2 linked regions of the Drosophila melanogaster genome follow. Each later gene encodes a partner of the first gene's protein in a complex. Each region holds a gene or a part of one and is shown on either strand. Other genes may lie near its edges. The genes, in order: CG6420 and CG9062.

What was found.
Region 2: CG6420 (region 1) and CG9062 share a complex: the UniProt entries of both Drosophila melanogaster proteins name them as parts of the usp12-46 deubiquitylase complex.

What each region holds. Positions count from the first base shown.
Region 1 is NT_033777.3:26,719,347-26,730,308, reverse strand, and holds CG6420 (uncharacterized protein), read left to right. Parts: upstream 1-5,092; 5' UTR 5,093-5,596; coding exon 5,597-6,142; intron 6,143-7,194; coding exon 7,195-7,383; intron 7,384-7,455; coding exon 7,456-9,390; intron 9,391-9,461; coding exon 9,462-9,521; 3' UTR 9,522-10,462; downstream 10,463-10,962. Other genes in the region: CG14246 (uncharacterized protein), read right to left, coding at 259-540; CG14245 (uncharacterized protein), read right to left, coding at 1,237-1,548; CG14244 (uncharacterized protein), read right to left, coding at 3,785-4,092, 4,156-4,168; Yif1 (Yip1-interacting factor 1), read right to left, coding at 10,709-10,942. UniProt on the Drosophila melanogaster protein: Regulatory component of the Usp12-46 deubiquitylase complex.
Region 2 is NT_033778.4:11,279,869-11,289,038, forward strand, and holds CG9062 (uncharacterized protein), read right to left. Parts: upstream 4,104-9,170; 5' UTR 4,046-4,103; exon of another isoform or gene 3,983-4,045; 5' UTR 3,858-3,982; coding exon 3,816-3,857; intron 3,738-3,815; coding exon 3,518-3,737; intron 3,456-3,517; coding exon 2,461-3,455; intron 2,401-2,460; coding exon 2,296-2,400; intron 2,232-2,295; coding exon 2,092-2,231; intron 2,023-2,091; coding exon 1,827-2,022; intron 1,765-1,826; coding exon 1,570-1,764; intron 1,512-1,569; coding exon 1,406-1,511; coding exon of another isoform or gene 1,398-1,405; exon of another isoform or gene 1,283-1,397; coding exon 1,239-1,282; 3' UTR 616-1,238; downstream 1-615. Other genes in the region: Vhl (von Hippel-Lindau), read left to right, coding at 10-546; CG13220 (uncharacterized protein), read left to right, coding at 4,630-5,091; Fbl6 (F-box and leucine-rich repeat protein 6), read right to left, coding at 6,096-6,300, 6,370-6,504, 6,565-6,797, 6,851-7,018, 7,083-7,223, 7,280-7,449, 7,508-7,718, 7,777-8,676. UniProt on the Drosophila melanogaster protein: Regulatory component of the Usp12-46 deubiquitylase complex. activates deubiquitination by increasing the catalytic turnover without increasing the affinity of deubiquitinating enzymes for the substrate.

The sequences.
Region 1 (10,962 bases):
TTTCGGCGGCATCGAAAAACAACAGCAAATCCCCGCCAGCATCAACATGGGAGGCGGCCACCCGAAAGCGGCTTATGTCCTGGCCCCACCACCAACACCACCACCATCACTATCACCAGCACCACCTCCACGCCCATGTCCTTGGAGCAGCAGGGCGCGCATAAATTAACCAGCACTCAACCGGGAAAAATCGAAAAGCGCTTTTTAATTATATTTTCGACAATTTGTTTCAATACATGCGAACGCGCGCGTCCTGTTTTATTTGCGCGGCTTTGTGGGCGGATCCTGCGGTTCGGTCCACTGCCAGTGCTTCCACTTTACGCACCGCCGCTCCCGGTCGTAGAACAGCTCGTTGGCCGGGCAACGCTGCAGCTGGGCGGGTCGTTCCCGTTCCCAATCCCTATCCCGCTCCCGCTCCTCCTCCATTGATTTTCCGCCGCACTGCCAGTAGGCGGTGGGATCCCAGAAATGCCGGTAGCTCTGGCCCAGTTCCTCGGCACTGCGACAGCCTGGCTCTCCGTTGTAGTCCCGACCGGACATGGCTGAAAGTGAGAGGACACGAATTTAAGGACATTCAATTTTGGCTATCAAACACGGATATATTAAAGTCATTTCCTTTGGGCCCAAATAATTTAGTCCCAACAGTTGTGTAACTCAATATAGTTGAAGCTGCGTAGTTGTACATAAATAAATGTATTTTTAACAATATTTTACAGCCTTGTAAAAGCGCATTTAAAAAGTTCGCGATGTAAGTATGATTTTTTTGCACTCGTAGCATACGCAAATATTTTTTAAAATAAACTATTTATTGTCAACAAACAAACAGAAAAGTGCGGCGACAAATGTGTTTACGTTGTTTTAAGTGCTTTAGTTTAATGCCCGCAAAAACACAGTTAACCATTAAGCTAAAAGAGTTTATAAATTTTCTTTATTTTTTTTTTGTGAATTAAGTGCTTAAGAAAAATTTCCATTATTTATCTGACTGATTAATCGTGCCCTGACGTTACAGCAAAAATATTTATTTGTGCAAAGTCTTTGTGCTTATCTCACATGCGCTCAGTTACTAAGTTATTTATCAAAGATATTTACTAAATATTTACTTTTACTAGAGATTGCTAGCTTACTTCATTTCTCCTTCATTTCTTTGATTTTTGAATGCATGACAAGGAAATATTAAAAGAAAATAGTTAATATTACTGCATATTTGTTTTATTTTGTTATGTCAAATCTCCAATTCTATGCAGCAACTTCGGGTTGGCTGGGCGGCTGGACAGTGGGCGACCACACCCACTGGGGCCAGGGAACACAGGCCTTGGCGGAGTCCAACCAGGCGGAGGCAATGGGGCACTGGGCGAGGGTGGCGGGAACGCCCTGGGTGGAGCACACCCAGTAGGAGCTCTTCAGGTAGAAGTGGGCATAGAATGCCACCTCCAGCTCCTCGGCCGTTTGGCAACCGGGTTGACCAGTGGGCTTGGCCACAGCAGCTCCGCTGCAGAAGGAGGAGTAGCCGAGGATTAGGAAAAAGGCGAACAGAGGCAGGAACTTCATCTTGAACTAGGGGTGGCTTTCGTTGGACTGACCTATGCTAATCGGTGGCGAGCTTTTTATACACTCCACGAATAGCCGAAATCTTATCGAGCGGAACTGAGGTGTGATGCTGTCTGTGGTCGCGATAAGCTCATCTAGTATTTCCTGCCACCCCCCAGCAACCCACTCTGTTTTCGCATTTTATAGCGCTGTTTGTTTGCCCGATTGCTGTTTCTTCCGCTCGAGCCGAGCTGGATAGGAGCTGGCCAGTTGGGTCCAGGTGGGTACCCATCCCGGTCGGCCTGCTTGCATATTCATGACATCAACGGCAGCTGTAAATTATTTTCAGAGATAGCCGAGGCAGGCCGCAAACAAGCGGAGTAGCAACGATGTTGCCTCGGCTGGATACGCTGGCTAATTAATTCAAAACACTGCCTCAAAGGCATTTTTGGGGCTGGGCCAACAAATTTCACCTGGCTGCGCGGTGGGAGGAGGAGTACGCCTTAAGCCACACAACGTCCTTCGTCCTCCTGGCGCACTTGAGTAATTGCCCCAGTGCACTGCACAGTGCAGTCGGAGTCGGGAGTTGGGAAAAGGCCTCCTTGGCCTTTGTTGCTCAGTTTTGCGGATTGGGCTTTTGTTAGTTTTGGGCCATAAATTAAATCGGGTTATTAATGTCTGCCATTAAGTGAAGCCACCGGGAGGAACGGCACTTGGCTGGCTGCAAAATGCCCACTTCCTGCCGCCGTTGTCCTTGCCACAGTGATTTATGCTAATTCGTGTGGCATTTGTAGCATTTCCCCGAGTATTTTCAGATTTTCAAAGACAAGGCCATTATTTTAGACAGCGCAGGTAGGGCTCACCGTTCACTGATTTAAAATTCATTCGACCACTCCGAAATGCCGAAACCCAATTATGTGACGCACTTTTTTGTTCACTCTCGTCTCACTTTTAAAAACATACTTGCAGCGGTATTAAACGGAATGGAAAACAAAGAGGCAGAAATGCAATTAAATATATTGCGTATACGTCACGTATGCTAAAATTTCATTTCACAATTTTTATACCTCTCCCTTTGATTCACGCTGCTGCCTCTTCGTTTCGCCGTTTGGCTGGCGGAAAATTCTTTTACATGCAAATATTTTGTTGGCACTCGCACGCACGTCGCCCCGAAAGCGAGAAATAAAAATTCAATTGAATGGTATTTTTTCGCCGCTTATTGATGTGCTCGGGGGCCTGACAAAGCGTTTGACTGACAACTGTGAAATGAAATAAAATTCTCGCACCAACTACATGGGCGAGTGCATCAAAAATAGTGCAACTTATTGCCAGGCAGCCAGGGAGCAAAGGGATCGGCTCGATGGCGGTTGCGCCCACATATTGATTTATGACAAATGCCCACCGAAAAGGGGGCGTGGCCCGTCAGTCAAGACCGCTTAACTGGCGTCAGAAGCCGCGCGTTAACAATGGCAACCGTAATTGCAACTGGCCATCGGCGGATCATCATCACACGGCTGGCATAAAAATACCCAATGCAATACCCAAATCTCCGCCATCCGGGACACTGAGAGAAAAGAGTGTGCCTGTTAATATGATTCATTGAGATATCATCATCGAGACTCGCACTGAGATATGCGACTTATCGCTCTCGCGGATCGTGCTCTTGACATTGGCCAGATAAGATGACGGGGGAAACTTGGGGACATGGAGACGTATTGCCTCAAACATTTTTGGCACCCATCTCGATGCATTCTTCATTAGCTTTGGATGCTCTTCAAAGGCATTACTAGAAATAATTGGTTTATTCTCGGCATTACAACAGCTTCATGATATTTCTGTCACTTGTAATGAAAAATAAATAAATAGATTATCAAGTTCCTATCTACTTAAATTTGGCTTACCTATATTTTCGTTATTATTTGCTTAAATTATGTTAAAGAGCGTGACATATTGTTTAATCTTTGCAGTGAAAAAAACCTCCTGAATTCTGCAAACGGATATTGTTATACAAATCTAATAAATTAGCATGTATTTAATATAGTTTTTCTATACTGAAATGCAAATTATACGTGTTAATTTCCCTTTTTTTTTATGCTTTTTATTATACCCAACACAACAATTTTTTAATTGTAATAAAGAAGAGTAAGGAAATTTTCATTTATCAGAGAAATGACCAAAATTTAAACTGTGAAACATAATTTTTAGTTTAAGCCTAAATCCATTATTGTGGCCAAGCAACACGGACTTGCTCACTCTTTTAGCATCCACTCCATCCAGGAGGACGACTGGGCGGCTCCTGGCATGGCTTCCACTCCCAGGCGGTCCATGGCACACAGGCGTTGAGGTCCTGATCGAATCCGGTGTTGGGCTGGCACTTATGAAGGTGCGCCTGCGAGTTGATGGCGCTGCAGAGCCAGTACTTGGTGGGGTCCAAACAATAACGCTGGGGGATTTGCAGCTCCGCCGGGTGGAGGCATCCCGGCTCAGTGGAGTCGTTGCACATCGAGCGGATTCCGGACGGAAGCAGGAGCAGCACAAGGCAGCATGCCAGTGACCAGGAAAAAGCTAATCGGATATAATCAGCTTTAGTCCTTCGAATTGCGACGAATAGCGAGGGCATATACTCACCTTGCGGATGCATGGTTTTAGTGAAAGTGGTTAATTTTCCTGCTGTTGCAGATGGTTTTTATACAAGCAGTCCGGCCCCTCAAGTGGCCATTCTTATCAATCGCTCTTGATTGATTCGAGTTCGATGCGCTGCTCGAGGTCGTCGCTTGTTTGCCCATCCCACTTGGTCGGACTAAGCTGATGGGGGGGGGGGGGGGTGGAATTCCTAGGGTGACAATGCCAAGACAAAAGACATGTGTCCCAAACGAGATTTAGCTGGGAACTTCAATGCAATTGGCAGTGCAAAGTAACGAGAAAATGGGAGCAAGTAAAAGGCGGAAGGGCAGCAAAACAGCAGCTTCATTCTTCTTCTTCTTCACTGGCCAATTTCGCAGGACATGCCAAATGCATTTCCGGCTAACACCACACACACACTACCAGTGGCTGGAATAACGCAAGTCACTGTCATTGGTTTCTGTCGAATGTTGTTTATTTTGTTGGTTGTCCATTGATAAACCAAAAAAAATGAATACTGGAAAAGTTCAAAAAGGAAAAAGGAATCATAAAATGGACTTACAAAATAACCAAAGTTAGGTTATATAACTAAAAACTTTAACATTAAAGTTAGAACTTTATTATTTTCATATTTTTCATAAAAAAAAATGGAATTTATGAATATCATGAAATTCAAATTACGCGCCAAGCGTTTTAATGCTGCCCATTATTAAAAATATTGGCATCATTGATTGCAAACTATTTTGGACAGTCTGGCTGCCTTCACTGGAAATATTTTGTTTCAATGATAATGCTCGTAAATATTTTATACATAAGATGCTAAATCTTTAAGTGCACTTGTCTTAAGAAAGTAATAACAAAAGCAATTTATATATTTCGGCCTTAAATCGTTAAGAGTGACCAGTCTTTGGAGCGTTGTAAATCCAGCTCTTCGAACATCGAACAGTATCGACGGAAAGTATCGACGTTTTCTCACATCGCTAAGCCCAATCAGAAATTAGAAATAAATTAAGTAATTTGTGCGGAATAAAAGCAAGCGTGCGGCCGATGCGATAACCGCGATCCCCGTCACCCTTACCCCGCCGCCACCACGCCGTGATGCAGGCAACCAGCGCAGTGGCCGGAAAACTCGGAAAACTTGGCGAACGCAGCTGCAACGGCAGAAACAACAACAGTGCAAGCACAGCCCCACGAAACTCGGTGTAGTGAAGGAATTAAATCTAATTATAAGAAGAAAACAAGTGAAGGGCAAGCCCAACCCCGCGGCGCTTAATTAGCGGCGACAGCCAGCGATTTTCGTGGCTGGGTAGGAGCAACTGCAGCGCCCGCAGAGCCACCACTAGCACCACTGGCACCTGGCATTCACATGGGCTGAGTGCCGAGTGGATCGGTGGATCGGCGAAGGCGCAGCAGCAGCAGAGGAGCAGAAGCGGGAGCCGCACCAGCGATGGCCAACCAACTGGACGCCAGTGTGAAGGACGACCTGAAGACGCAGTTCGTCACCCGCGAGGGCACCTACCGCCTGCTGACCCTCTCGGAATACTCGCGGCCCAACCGGGTGGGCTACAGCAGCAACCAGAGCTCGCCGCAGGTGCGCGTCTCCATGGTGACCCTGCCCAGTCCGGCGCAGGGCAAGCTCGGCTCGGATGTGGGCGTGGGCACACCTGTGGGCGGCGGAACAGCAGGAGCCAACACCACCACAACGAATGGCAGCTCGCCGGGAGCGTCGCCTACGGGAGCAGCCGGAGCCAGCACAGCAATATCGAATGGAGGCGCTGGCGGTGACTATAGCCACAGCAACCACAACAGCAACAGTGCCGGAAACAACACTGTGGAGGCGCGTCTGGGCGGCGGCATATCCATGCACTCCATGATGAACGGCGGCGTCGTCGACCAGAATGGCGTGGCCACCAATCAGGTCCTAGGAGGCGATCGCATATGCTTCAACTTCGGACGAGATCTCTACGTTTACTCCTTTCGCGGAGCCAAGAAGGTAAACATTGTCGGCCAGAGATAGTCTCCATGCGCAAGCACGTGCGATGGAGGAGAAATGGTGCAGGTGGCGGTGCAGCGAGCTTATCACACCAGAGATAGAATAGAGGCTGCCGGCAATTGCATTCCAGGCGGATTGCACCAGCCAATTGGCGAGGGCCTAAAATACCTTGCCATTTGCATGCAGTGTCCCCCCAGTGTGCTTAATTTGCTCCACTTCGAGCGCTTGATGATCAATTCGCTTGTTTGGCGTTTTTATGAATGTTTATTGCGCTCGAAGGCAGTCGGTTGTGAGCGGTTTCAGCTCATCCCTGCGCGCGGATTACCCTAACTTTTGTTTGCACCTGCTGTAGTCAACGAACATTCCGATAGAGTAATCCTGGTGCGGCTTTCGACCATCCGAATTGCTCATCGCGTCGCTTGTGTTTGCCCTGTTTCCCCTGCCCAGCAGCTGTTTCTAATTCTTTGGCATTCTGTGCGGCAACAGCTTGCGATTCTCCTTATGTATTTGCTTTAGCTGGCTTCTTTGTTGCCATAGTTATCTGCTGGCGAGAACTTGGCAAGGCTTGCATAGAGCTTTTCCCACCTGATTCCGCCAACAAGCTGTTAATTTCCACTCCGCTTTCCGAATGTGTTAATTTCCAATCTTATTTCAACCCACTGAACGTATTCTTCCATTCCAAACTTGGCTCAAACGAAATTATTTGAGCCTGTTCCGCTTTGCCATTTGACTTTCACTGCATTCATATTCTTAATCTTGAAAATTATTCTATGATGATGACTTATATTTCAGTGATTTGTTTATACAAGCTCTCATCCAATAGCATCTTGTTGCACAAAGCATCGAGCTTATGATATCAATAGGGTGGACAGCTTATAAACATTTCCATCTTGGTCACAAGATATTATATAAACTTGGCTTCCATTCAGTGAACGTTTTATTTCAAAGAGTTTCTTGCCTCTTTAGGTTTACAATAGGAAAACGTAACGCAATTCAGAACGACTAAGATAAATATAAACAGATGATAGTGACTCTTGTTGACTTACTTTCAGGGCACGGAGATGAGCAAGCCGATCGATAAGAAGTTCTACAAGGGCACCAATCCCAGCTGCCACGACTTCAACATAAGCTCGGCCACGCCCACGGGAGCGCCCCTTCTGGTGGGCTTCACCACAGGTCAAATCCAGCTGGTCTCCCCGCACGTTGGTCCTCGGGAAGTGAGGAAGCTCTTCAACGAGGAGGTGAGTGTTCCACCTGAGATATATATATATATAGCCCTTCAAAGCAAACTGATTATTATGTGTGTTTTTCAGCGACTGATCGACAAGACCAAAGTGACCTGCCTAAAGTGGCTACCCAACTCACCGCACCTGTTCCTCGCCGCCCACGCCTCAGGTCACCTGTACCTGTACAACGAGGAACTACCCTGCGCCGCCACAGCGCCCAGCTATCAGCCCTTCAAGCTTGGCGACGGCTACACGATACTCACCAGCAAGTCCAAGACCACAAGGAACCCGCTCTTCAAGTGGGTCTTCAGCACCGACAACTGCTGCGTCAATGAGTTCTGCTTCTCGCCTTGCGGATCTCACTTGGCGGTGGTTTCCCAGGACGGTTTCCTGCGCGTCTTTCACTACGACACCATGGAGCTGCTCGGAATCGCACGCTCCTACTTTGGCGGCTTCCTCTGCGTGTGCTGGTCCCCTGACGGCAAGTACATTGTCGTGGGTGGCGAGGATGACCTGGTGACTGTGTGGTCGCTCCACGAGCGACGTGTAGTGGCTCGCGGACAGGGCCATCGGTCCTGGGTCTCTGTGGTAGCGTTTGACCCGTATACCACCTCGTACACAAACTGGGATGGCGGCGACTTCAGCGACGATGAGAATCAAATGAACGAGTACTCCCATTCGCGAGAGGCGCGCTTCTCCGGAGATTCCACGGCCAACGGTGGCTTCGAGGGTTTCGACCGAAACTCCACACCCGTTCACGCTGACCGCAACGGACCACACTCGGCCTCCTTTCGCTCGGACGCTTCTTCGGCCGAAAAGCTAATGAGTTATAGACTTGGCTCCGTCAGTCAGGATACCCAGATCTGCCTATGGGACATCACGGAGGACGTTCTACGCCACCCATTGGTGTTAAGGCAGCCCGCTAACAGTGAAAGGGCCTATCTCAACGGTGGTGTCGACGAAGAAGCGGAAGCAGAAGACGGCATAAAGGTAATCCGACCAGTGGCCATGTCTGGTCAAGCGACTGGACAGCAAGCGGAATCGGGCAGCTGTAGTCCAACACGGGAAGCAGCGGGCGGAGGCACAGGGAACGGTGCTGGCGAGCACAGCAATAGCAGTTCCAGCAAGTTCTCAACCGCCAACTGCACGATATCCTCGCAATCCTCGCCCGACGACTGCGACACCGAGGCAGCCACTCCCGCCTCAACTTCATCGAATGCGGGCGCAGGCTCGGTGGCTGGAGCGGGAGCGGTGGCCTCAACGAAGCAGAACAACCGCAACCATGGCACTGGCAACTCAATCAAATTCCCCAACTGCATCAGCGCCACCAAGTCAGACAGCATTGACGGAGGCGGCGGCAGCGGGAGTGGACAGAGGCCGTCGCAGACTACATCGGGATACAACAGCAAGACTTCCAACAGCTCGAACAAGTCCTCCAACTCGGGCAGCGGCTTCAGCGCCTTCAACAGCCTCACGCAGCGTCTCTCGAACTTCAGTTTCCTGAGCAGCTCGGAAAAGAAGGGCGCTGGCTATGAGGGAAGCCATTCCACCGCGCACCGTCAGCACCGCAAGGCAATGAGCATGCTGAAGAGCTACAACCAACACAACCACACTGGCGGACACAACAACCACAGCCAGAGTAACAACAGCAGCTCCTCCAACTTTGGCCACTCGAGCACTCTGGATTCGAATGCAGCCGGGGCCATTGGCAGCAGCTCGACGGCGCATAGTTTCGGATCACTGAAACTGAGCCGGTCCTCGCACCACTCCTCATTGGCCACAGCCGCCCATGCGTCGGGATCTGCAGCGGGCTCTGGCTCCGGTGTCAGCAGCTTCGATCCCATGCAGCTTATCGGAACTCCTGCCTGCCCCCGTTTCGATGAGTGCCCACTGCTGGAGCCGCTGGTCTGCAAGAAGATCGCCCACGAGCGGCTGACGGCGCTGATCTTTCGCGAGGACTGCTTCCTGACGGCGTGCCAGGATGGATTCATCTACACCTGGGCGCGGCCAGGTCATGCCACGGTGAGTGCGACACCTTGATTCTATAGACTCGAAGCGGGCAATATTTTTAATGATATACCCTTCTTTGACAGCACGCCACTCAGCACTTGTCACCTGGACAGGCGGCGGCGCCCGGCGGGACGGTAATTTAGTTCAATAAAGTGGACTTGGTCAACTATCAGCGTAATCTTGTCAAGCAGCAGGAGCAGGAGCAGCAACAGAAGCAGTCGGTGATCTAGGTTAAAGCTAGGCGATTGATTTCGGTAATTTATTGATAGGAGCAAGAGTTTTAAAGGTTTTATGTTGCGTATTTTGTATTCCAAATGTAGCCTAAATGAGTTTATGAACCACACACGACACACCGTACACCCGTAATATATATACATATATACATATATGTATATATACGATATATAGCTATGTAAAACATAACTACGATCTATATACGCAGCATCATCAGGCAACAGAACAAACGTATATGTTTAATCTAAATTATTAGTTGTAAATGTATTATTTTTTTAGTACGTGGAATTTGTTGAAAACAAAGCAAAGCATGTTTATAACTATTTACTAAGTGCTAGCCTACACTACACACGATAAATAAAGCAAAAGAACGAAGAAGTGAACTGCATTAGCGAACTAAAATAAACAGAATCAAATAGAGGAATGGAGTGGAAGGGAATGAGAAGTGGACGTCTTTACACATCGTGCTATGTACTGAGTTGCGGTCGAGGCCCCAAACTAACCAACGACGAACTATCTAACTATGTAAACTCACGAACTAACCTAAAGTAGGAACTGTTATCATTACTAATACTATGGATTCGTATGCCTTTTATTTTTTGATGCAAGCCGCCGAGTGCAACGTTTTAGCATGCAGACGACAACCGAACAAATTAGACTAAATGCAGACAGGAACCGGAAATCGGTGATCGGAAATTTGAAATCTGAAACCCGAACCAACACAGCAACAAACATTTCACACATATATTTTATAACGAGCCAGGAGAAACAACAGTCGGCACCTTGCGATGTTAGCCAATAAGTTAACAATGAGCCGAGCAAGCAAAACCAACCAAGAACACGTTACAGTAAAAAAAGACTAAAATTTCAATAAAATTATATAAAAAATTAGTTTTCATAGCTGGTATTTATTTATAAAATGTGTTTGTTTCTAACAAAAATATGCTTCTCTCGCTCGAGTCTCAAATGAGACAACCACAAACTTCATGCTGGAAAACACAATGCCTAGGCTCTGTGGAATCGTTCGACATGTGAGTGGCCACCCTGGCCACGATTAACTCAAGGAGTATGCAAATTAACCTATCAAGCCTGTGGGTTAGAAGGTCTTGGGCACCGTCAGCACCTCCGCCTCGGGCAGATACAGGTGCTTGGAGAGCAGGAAGGCGAACAGCGCCTGTCCCGCGACGATCATGAACAGGAAGTAGAGTTTGCGCTTTTTCCCGCCGCTGTAGTCAAATTGCTGTGGATTGCCATACGGATCGTAGTTGATGGCTCCACTGGGCGCAGCCGGGGAGTTGTCCTGCAGCAGTTTCGTCCGCAACGTGCGGAGCTACAATGAAGGTAAGATTA
Region 2 (9,170 bases), on another chromosome or scaffold:
CTGCTGGAGATGGCGCTCCAAATAGCGCAGAACAACCGCGACGGCCAGCAGCTGGTGGGCGCTGATCAGGGAAAGGTGGAGGTGTACGTGCTGTTTGCAAACACCACCTATCGCACCCTGGATCTGTACTGGGTGTGCGAGCGGGAGCGGGAGAACATGTACCTTACCCTCAAGCCCTTCGAGGAGGTGCGGGTGAACACGTTCACCACACACAGCTGGCTGTTCCGGGATTACTACACGGGCGAACGGATGCACGTACGCTCGCAGAGGATCTTTCAGCCGATTCGGGTGCGGGTACCCAAGAGCCAGCAGAGTCCGGATCAGCTGGTTGACGTACGCAGCGAAGTGCTGATCCACTTTCCGATGAGATCGCTGCGCGAAAACTGCCTCTGGCTGGTCGCCCGCTGGCTGATCCGGACGAGCAACGCGCCACGGAGGATTATCCACGGATACCACATACCCTCGACGCTGAAGCAACAGCTGCTCAGCCTGCTGACCTGCATCGAGTCCTATTCCCGAGTGGCGGGCACGCGACGTCGGCGTTAGGAGCACACTCCTAGTTGTTAGTTAAGAGGGCGGGTAATCATCTTAGGGACTGAGAGACAGGCTTGATTTCCAAATAATTTAATAACTTTAATTGATTTCCATCCTGGTTTTCGATTTTCGCTTATTACTTATGTACAAATTGGCTTGCATAGAGCTCTTTACAAGTTGGGCTACTACCATTGCATTGATTTTTCTGTATATTTAACAGATTTCTTATACCTATGTATGTTCTATGTAAATAATTATGTATAAACCTAATGTGAAACAAGTGTGAATATTACATACATACATATATGCGCAATACTCTAGGTCTAGTTGCTTCAGATGCAAATACGATTTAATGGTATGTCTGCAGTTACTCCTTTGCAATGCTTATCTACGTGTGTCGCAAGCCTAATTGTTATAAGTCTGAATCTGAAGTACATATTTATTCCTAACGAGAAGTGAACAAACAAAAGTACTCCGGTGCACTTTTAAATTTAAAGTTAACGCTCGTACAGATTCTCCTTGAATGTGTTTGTGTTTGTCCACGAGTCGAGTCGAGAAGAGATGAGACGAATCGCAGGTTAACTCAAATATATTGCAAAATCAACTTATAAAAATATAAATTGTTAATCGATCTGCTCAATCTCGTTCTCATTCAATAATGCATCGGTACTGCTTCGGTTAGGCGGGAGATCACTTGCCAGCGTTCAATACTTGCGCGTCACGCGCTCCAAGCTATCCCCGATCGAACCTATGGGGCGGATATATATAAGCACAACTCTCGGTTAGGCAATAGCAATTGCAGAAATCAAGTATGCGTTGTGTTTGTGATAGGTGTTCTTGTGTTGTTCAATGCGTGGGCTCTCTTATTTACCATCGTAGTTGAAATTCTGTTTGGTCTTGTACTGAAACGTTAGATCGGTCGACTGCTTCCAGATAAAGTGGCGCACCGTGCGCAGGTCCATGTTGGGGTCCACAACCTTTAAAGGAAAGGCGGTGAACAAGGTCCTTTAAATGAGATTTGTCCATTTGTCTTACCACATCGTTACACCACAGTTCAATTCGTTCCTCAGCTGGCAGTTGGGATCCCTCCGAATTAGCATCGCTCTGGCTATTCTGCAGTGAATTGTTAGCATTGCCCCCACTTGGGGTAGTTTCCGCATTCAGCACCTTTTCAAGCACGTGCTCGCAGACCTTGCGACACTGAATAAATTCATTAGCCACAAGACGATCCTAAAAAATTTAATATAAATTGCGTTAGAACATGAGTTTTGTTTGCTGTCAAGGACGGCTACCTTCTTCGTTCGTTCAGGCTTGGTCATTTGCGGGTGAGGCTGCAGGAAGAACGGTATTTTGAGGAACTTGGGAATGTTCTTCTCGATCACCACGTCGGTCACCCACTGAGGCGCCGTTTCGTGGAGCAGGGTACTTTCGCTATCGCCAGCTGCGTCGCGTACCAAAAGTCGGCAAACAGTGCGGCCACCCACTTCACTGTTTAATTTAGCCAGAAATTTGAGAAATTAGTTATGGTGCAGATAAGGTTATATCACAGTCACTAACCTAAAGATGACGGGCGTGTGCTTGGGCACTTGGAAGTAGCCATTGCCGTGCATATCGGGTTCCATTTCGTTTGGTGGTATGCTATGCGGTGGTGTCCAGTACTCTAGCAGGGCTTCTAAAAGTAATTTGCCATAGTTGATCTATAAAAAAACAAAGCATTTTAAATGGCATTTAATATGTGAAGGGGTCTGATGAGCGATCAACCTTAATCTCTGTTGTGGGATCGACGCACTCCGGCAGTCCAGCTTCAATGGAAACCCAAGCGGAAAAGCAATCCACTTCCTCCTGACCCAATACAATCGTTGGCATCTGCAAAGCATAATTAAGTATAAACGAACTTAAGCTTCAATAGAGCTTAGCTTAACTCACCCCGGTTTTCAGATCAACAGTGAACCAGTTTGGAATGTAGACCTGCTTATTACGCTTCTTCACCTCCGCTTCGAAATCAACAGCGCCCAATTGCTCTTTTTTGACAACTCTCAGCACATCGTACACCACGACCTGATCTTGTGAGTCCTTGGTTATGATATAACGTTTGTCGTTCAGCACCGCGCACTCCTTGATGGCGGCTCCACCTTTTATGCAGGCCACCTCAGTGCCGCCCTGTGTCCATTGTGCGTCCATTCCGCCCGAGGAATTTAGTGTGCACCTGTCGTACATGGGCAGCTTCCAACAGCGAATGTCCGAGTTCCAGGTGGTGGCCCACACCCCAGTCTTGTCGATGTTGTAGCCCAGACTCAGCACGGGCGCCTGCTCCTCGCACACAAGCGTTTTGTTACTAGGGTTCCGCATCTCGGTCACAATGATGTTGCGATCCCGACTGCCGGAGATGATGTACTGGAAGTTCTCGCTCATCAGCAGCGACCACACGCCCTCCTTGTGCACGTGGATGGTTTGAACACAGCGCTGTTGGCCCAGGTTCCACACCTTGATCGTGCCGTCGGAACTGCCAGACACCACCTGGTTTCCATCGGGCGACACCACCAAGCAGCGCACGTTCTCCGTATGGCCTCGCAGCTTCATTCTGCGCATACAGGTGCGGGGATCCCAGATACGCAGTATATTCTCCGTGGACCCGCTCACAATCACGGTGCCCGATGGATTCATGGCCAAGCTGTAGATTGAGTCCTTGGACCCGGTTAGACTAGAGGTGGTAACCGTGTTATTGCTCGCCGTGAGCGCGGTCAGTGTGTTCACGTCCCACAGGAAGATGGCCTTGTCCAGTCCAGCGCTGGCCACCTGTTCCCGATCCTTGGCGTAGGCCAACGCCTGCACGTAGTCGCGATGGGTCCGCAGGGTGGACATGCAGAAGCCTTTCTGGGCGTTCCACACCTTCACCGTGGTATCACAGCTGGCGCTAATAACTATGAGTGCAAAAGATTGAATGTTTGAATGAATGCCTAAACTGATCGGTGGAGCAACTCACGGTTCCTGCCATTACAGCAAAGTACTATGTCGTTGACCCAGTCGTTGTGGTGCTCCATCGATTGTATGTACTTCTCGCTGGAGTCCGTCCGTGTATTCCACACACGGATTATGGCGTCGCGACCGGCGGAGTACAACTTGCCGTTATTGGCATCCAGCTGCAGAGCGTTTACGCCATTCCGGTGCTGTTTCTCCTCGGCGTCCCGTATCACGAAGGAAACCTGGCGTCCGACGGTTTAATTGAATTAGTTTGGGCTTAGGTGTCCGCTTTCCTTCCCGTTTTCAATTGGCGCACTCACCTGCATTTTCTTACGTGCCTGACAAGTTTTGTGCGTCAACATGTCGTCCACGGATCTGCTGCACTGTGGCTCTCGGCGATATCTCTGGACTGAAGTGCTTCAGGAGCTGGCGTTGGTTGTTCTCTGCTCGCGGGGCGCGCACATTTATCGACGTTGCTTTGGGGCGGCTGATATTTACTTTTTGCAAATTGAAATTGAGGAATTTCCAGGCAACTACAAATTTTTCGCACCTATTTCGCTCTCTGTCTCTCCCCATTCGGTCCTCCCACCTCTCAGGCACTCCTCCACTCATTCTCCTGCGCCGGCTGGTGTTGCCACCTGGTTGTGCACACCGTGCCGGCTGTTCAACAGAGTTGACACTTCTTGTTCAGAAAGGTGACTCGTTCCGGAACCACTAAACTTAAAAATTCGAAAATTTTTAAAAAACCAGCCAAGAAAATAACTATAACATTTGTTTTTAATTGTACATTCAGGAAATATCGGGGCTAATGTTATGCAAATACGCAAAACGCCCACTAACATGAGCGCTCCAAGCGTTAAAGCCCTTGATAACAAGTACTCTCCCTGTCAGATATGTACATTTATATATTAGGATCTCTCAGACATTGACATATTATATTGGTCAAAACATTTACATCTTTATACACATATCTACCTAGAACCAGTGATATACCATCTGCAGAGTGTCCGCGAAGACCGACATAACTTTCACATATATCGCGACCTGGCAGCCCTATTCTTTACATAACAAGAAGAAGAAGACTCGTCGACCTCACCGGGATCCAAAAACTTAATTGCATTTTCACCGATAATAATGGCCGGGACACAGTCAAAAGACGCCTGCAGCATATGCGACAAAGTGGGCCTCAAGCCCTTCACCCGGGATAATGTGTTCAACTACTACATACCGCTGCACGGCCTGGTGAGCTACGGAGCCCTTGCGGTGAATGTTATGAACCCCCAGATCGTGCCCAAAATCCTGCCCAAGAAGGACCTGACGAACGTGTTCCTCATCTCCGCGGTGGTGGGCAGTGCCTTCTACATTTACGGCAGGCCCCACCTGAAGGACGTGAAGAACAACAAGCGAGGTGCGTACGCCCTGCTGGGCGCCACCCTATTCTCCATGGGATCCGTTCTGGCCTGGGCGCTCATCAAGTCCGCCCTGCCACAGGACAATGCACTGCTGGCGACCCTGGCGGGCTTGGGAACTGGCGCCGCCATCGTGAAGGTCGGCACTGATTACATTCAGGACGTGGATAAGCTGCAGAAGAACTAGATGATCTGATCGATACGATATAGGACTGAGGTATTCGAACCCAAAAGTGGGTTCGTACTGTAATTGCTGTCTTGGCCGTACATAGCTCGTAATGCAATATTATCTCCCGCATATTTGAATAAAATTATACTATAAACCCGACTGAGCGGTGTGTTTTGCTGTGTCAAGAGATGGATAATGCCGGGTGTAGATTGAAAATGTTTGCGTTTATTTTAAATTAAATGTACCTTTAATTGCCGTCTCTTAACTGCTAGTAATGCTTAACAATTGAATTGTTTTAATTTATGTTATGTATGTGTGGTATATGCGTTACCTTTATAAATGGTTACTTCGTTTATATAAAAACATCTAATCGGAAACGCCAATATGTACATTCTTGTCGGATTAAAACATTCTACAAATTGCCTTGGCGACTTTGAATTGACGACTACTTTATGGTAAATATATTCTTTTTGTATTGCGAATTATACACTTTAAACTTATTTTTAATTCTTGTATACATACTTTACAAACGCTCAATGGTCGGACTTAACTATCAATAAATCAGTATGTATATATATATATATACCATTATATATACTAAAAAAAATCATTGAAAATCGTTGCAACGGTTGTCTTCAAAAGGAAATGATTTTCGCGCTGCAAAAAATTCGAATCAACTTAGTTATGAATACATATTGCATTTACAAAAGGTTGCTTATTCGCACAGCATCTAATGCGGGCACCTCCAGAAAAGGGAGGAACTCGCTGCTGCCGCTGTGCAGAGAATACTATGCTAGTACAGTAGTTACGCTCTAGGGCCTATAAACAAAATAAGCATTATTGGAAGATGCAAGCGATTGCAAATATGCAAATATTGCAATATGTTTGCGGACTACATTACAAAATCAACAAAGCGCTTAACGCCTTTCGCGCGAAGAGGGATGCAACAATTTAAATTACATTTAAACTTGGCCCGCCTGATCAACAATAAAACCGATGTGTGGACTTGCCCACTGACTGGATTAGTTGCTCCCGCTGCTGCTCTTCAGCTGCACCCCCAGAACCTCCCGAAGTTCGCCTAGCTCCTGCGGTCCCTGCATCAAGCGCTTGACGCCTCGCGGCAGACCACGGCACGATGCCAAGTTGATGGAGCTCATATTTTGGCAGTTCGTCAGTATTTCCTTTACCGCCTCATCGGAAACAGAGGAGCCGCATAGATTCAAATGACTGCAGGGGAGAAATAAATTATAATATATATTAGCACACAATAGATACATTAGTTCAATATATACTCACGCCAACGGCGAATCTCTGCCCTTTTCCGCTAGGGCGCGCAACGCATTATCAATGGGCTGCTGCATATTCGCCCAAGCCAAATCCAGTTCTATGAGACTGTGCGCCCACTTTGAGGCAATGAGTTCCAGACCCGACCTACGTTGGGAAAACTTTTGATTAGTCTGCGTTCTGCATAACAATGCTAATTAGACCCACCCCATATCTCGTGTGACTGAGCAACCTGACAGGAATAAATGCTTGATATCCCAGGCAGGTAAGCGGATTAGGCTCTCGTGCGTCAGTCGTGTACAGTTGCGTACGTCCAGTAGCTTTAGCTTGGAGCTGCTCTTAAGGATGCGCTGCAGATGGTCGTCGCTTATGATGCGGGATTCATCTGTTAAGGCAGCCACGGACAGTTCTTCAAGTTCCGGAAAACCAGGTGAGTCCATCTGCAAAAGCTTTCTTTTAAAACATAGTTCGAACATTGAAATGCGAATCTTACAATTTCCTGCATTGATGCCGTGCTTGGCGTTATATGAGAGTTTGTCACACGCAGGACCTTTAGCTTCTGGCAGCCACGCTGCAACTTCTCAATGTGGAGTACACCGTGTGATGTGGCCTGCGTGGTCACGTTCGAGAGATCCAATAATGTTAGATTCGGACAGTGCGTCTGCAATATGAAAAAGAAGCCCATAAGTCATAGGAAATAAGTTGTAAAAGCGTTGTGAACTCACCGAAAGAATTCCGACTATTTGTGGTATTCCTGCCAGACGATTGTGCGCCAAATAGAGATGTGTTAGACGGCTGCCCATGGTCTGGAGTGCATTGCATAGGGAGTTGACACCCACGGCGCTCTTGCTGGCATTCATCTCAACCTGTGCGATACAAATTTGAATCAGATATAGCTTCGCAAACACATGCCACAACATACATTGATGGAACTTAAGTCCAAGCGCTGCAACTTGTGCATGTTATCCACCAAATACGTAAGATGATCCGAAGTGAAACCTTTCCAGCCGGAGAGCGTAATGCCTGCAAGGTTCGGGCACCCGCTTGACAATTTGGCAAGGAAGCAATTTATGTCTGATATTTTCCAATTGGCTGAAAGGAGATATTTTAAAATTAAATTATAGTCTCAAGACCATACTTCTCAACTTACAAACATTCAAGTCTGTACAGGCACTGCAGCGGTTGTCGACAAACCACTTGAGCTTGAGTTCGGTGCGATATTTCTCTTTGACCCATGTGGTAAGATCCATAGTGCGCCACAGAGTAGGCCTAAGAGACACCTGCCGCCAGAGCGAGCAAACTCTGCCAAGGCGAAACAGGGTGGGCAGACAGCCCTGTGTATCCACAGCATGCTCAAAGATCTGTAAGATGAATTCATATTACGAACACCATTTATATGCTGCTTGGTTTAATTCTCACTCTGAATAGGACTTCCTCGGGCAGCTTTTGAGCCCAGACACTCTGCTCGACTGGATCGCCAGCCGCCTCCGCAGCATCCGGACTCGTTGAAACCTTCTTTTCGCCGCCACTACCACCTCCTCCGCCTTTTTTCTTGCGCGGCTCATACTCGGCCTCATCGCTGTCCTGTTGCTTTGGTTTACGGACGCGCTTGCGCACAGTTTTTGTTGCTGCGGGAACTGCAACTGGCGGAGATGTGACACCAGCAGGTGCGCCTTCTCCGGCATCAGATTTCTTGATGCACAGTCGGATACCCATCTTGTTGTCGCTGATTTCGCTTTCGTACATGGGCAGCGCCTTGGTTTTGCGGCATCTGGATGCACGTGGTGACGTAGTGGCCGCTTTGCTGGTCTTCTTGCCGCTGAGCGCTGTGGAGAGTGGTTTCCCCGACTTTGGTACGGAGCCATTGACCGGCGCCGGCGTGGCCTGTGCCTGTACCTGTGGCGGTGGTGCCGATGACTGTTGATCCGCCGCCGGCGACCGCTGACCGTCAGAGGCTGGGGAGCAGGACGTCGATGTTGCCGTGTTAGTCTCATCGGTTTGAGTTTCTGACTTGGGCGGGGACAGGATGTTCTCCGGAATGACGGCCGTGCTTCCCGATGTGGCAGTTTCGACGGCCAGCAGTTGTGGCGGGGTTTGTGAGGGCGTCGAGGGAGTGAGTGTGTTTATATCCACCGTGGCAGATTTCTCCTTATCCAACAATTCACTCTGCTCCGGCTGCTGACCACCAGTGTCATCTGCCTCCACTTCCATAGCCGTTTCCGCCGAATCTTTGGCGGTGGACACTTCAGCTTTCTCTTTTACACCATCATCATCGGACACTTTGGTCTCCTCCACTTGAGAAGATAGAGATTCGCTCATCACTCTACTCGCTCTTCTGCAATTGGAAAAGAGTGCAACCGTTACTATGTACCTGCTTCTCAATGGAGTATTACTGGTTCCGTTATATTTCTAATATTATCTTTAAATAAGCTAAGATTAGTTCGTTTTAACACTTTCAATTGCACTGTGTACTGTTAATGTTCCACGCGTACTTCAATAGTCAAGGAACAAGCGAACAAAAACATTTATTAATGAGCATGATAGTTGCACTTTAACTATTTATTATACCGATATAGGGGTTTTAAGAATCGTCTGTATTTTACTTTTAAAAGTATAATATCAATACACTTGCCAAGATGCCAAGTTGTTTATTATGTATTTATTTTAACTATTCCGAAAAATTCATAATCGGTTAAAAAAACACAATTTTAAATTTTTTCATTCCGGCCGGGAAAATCGATGCAAAAAGAACTCAACCCATTTTGGCGGTTTTTCACGGTTTCCCATTCGCCCCCGTTCTTAATACGAAGAAC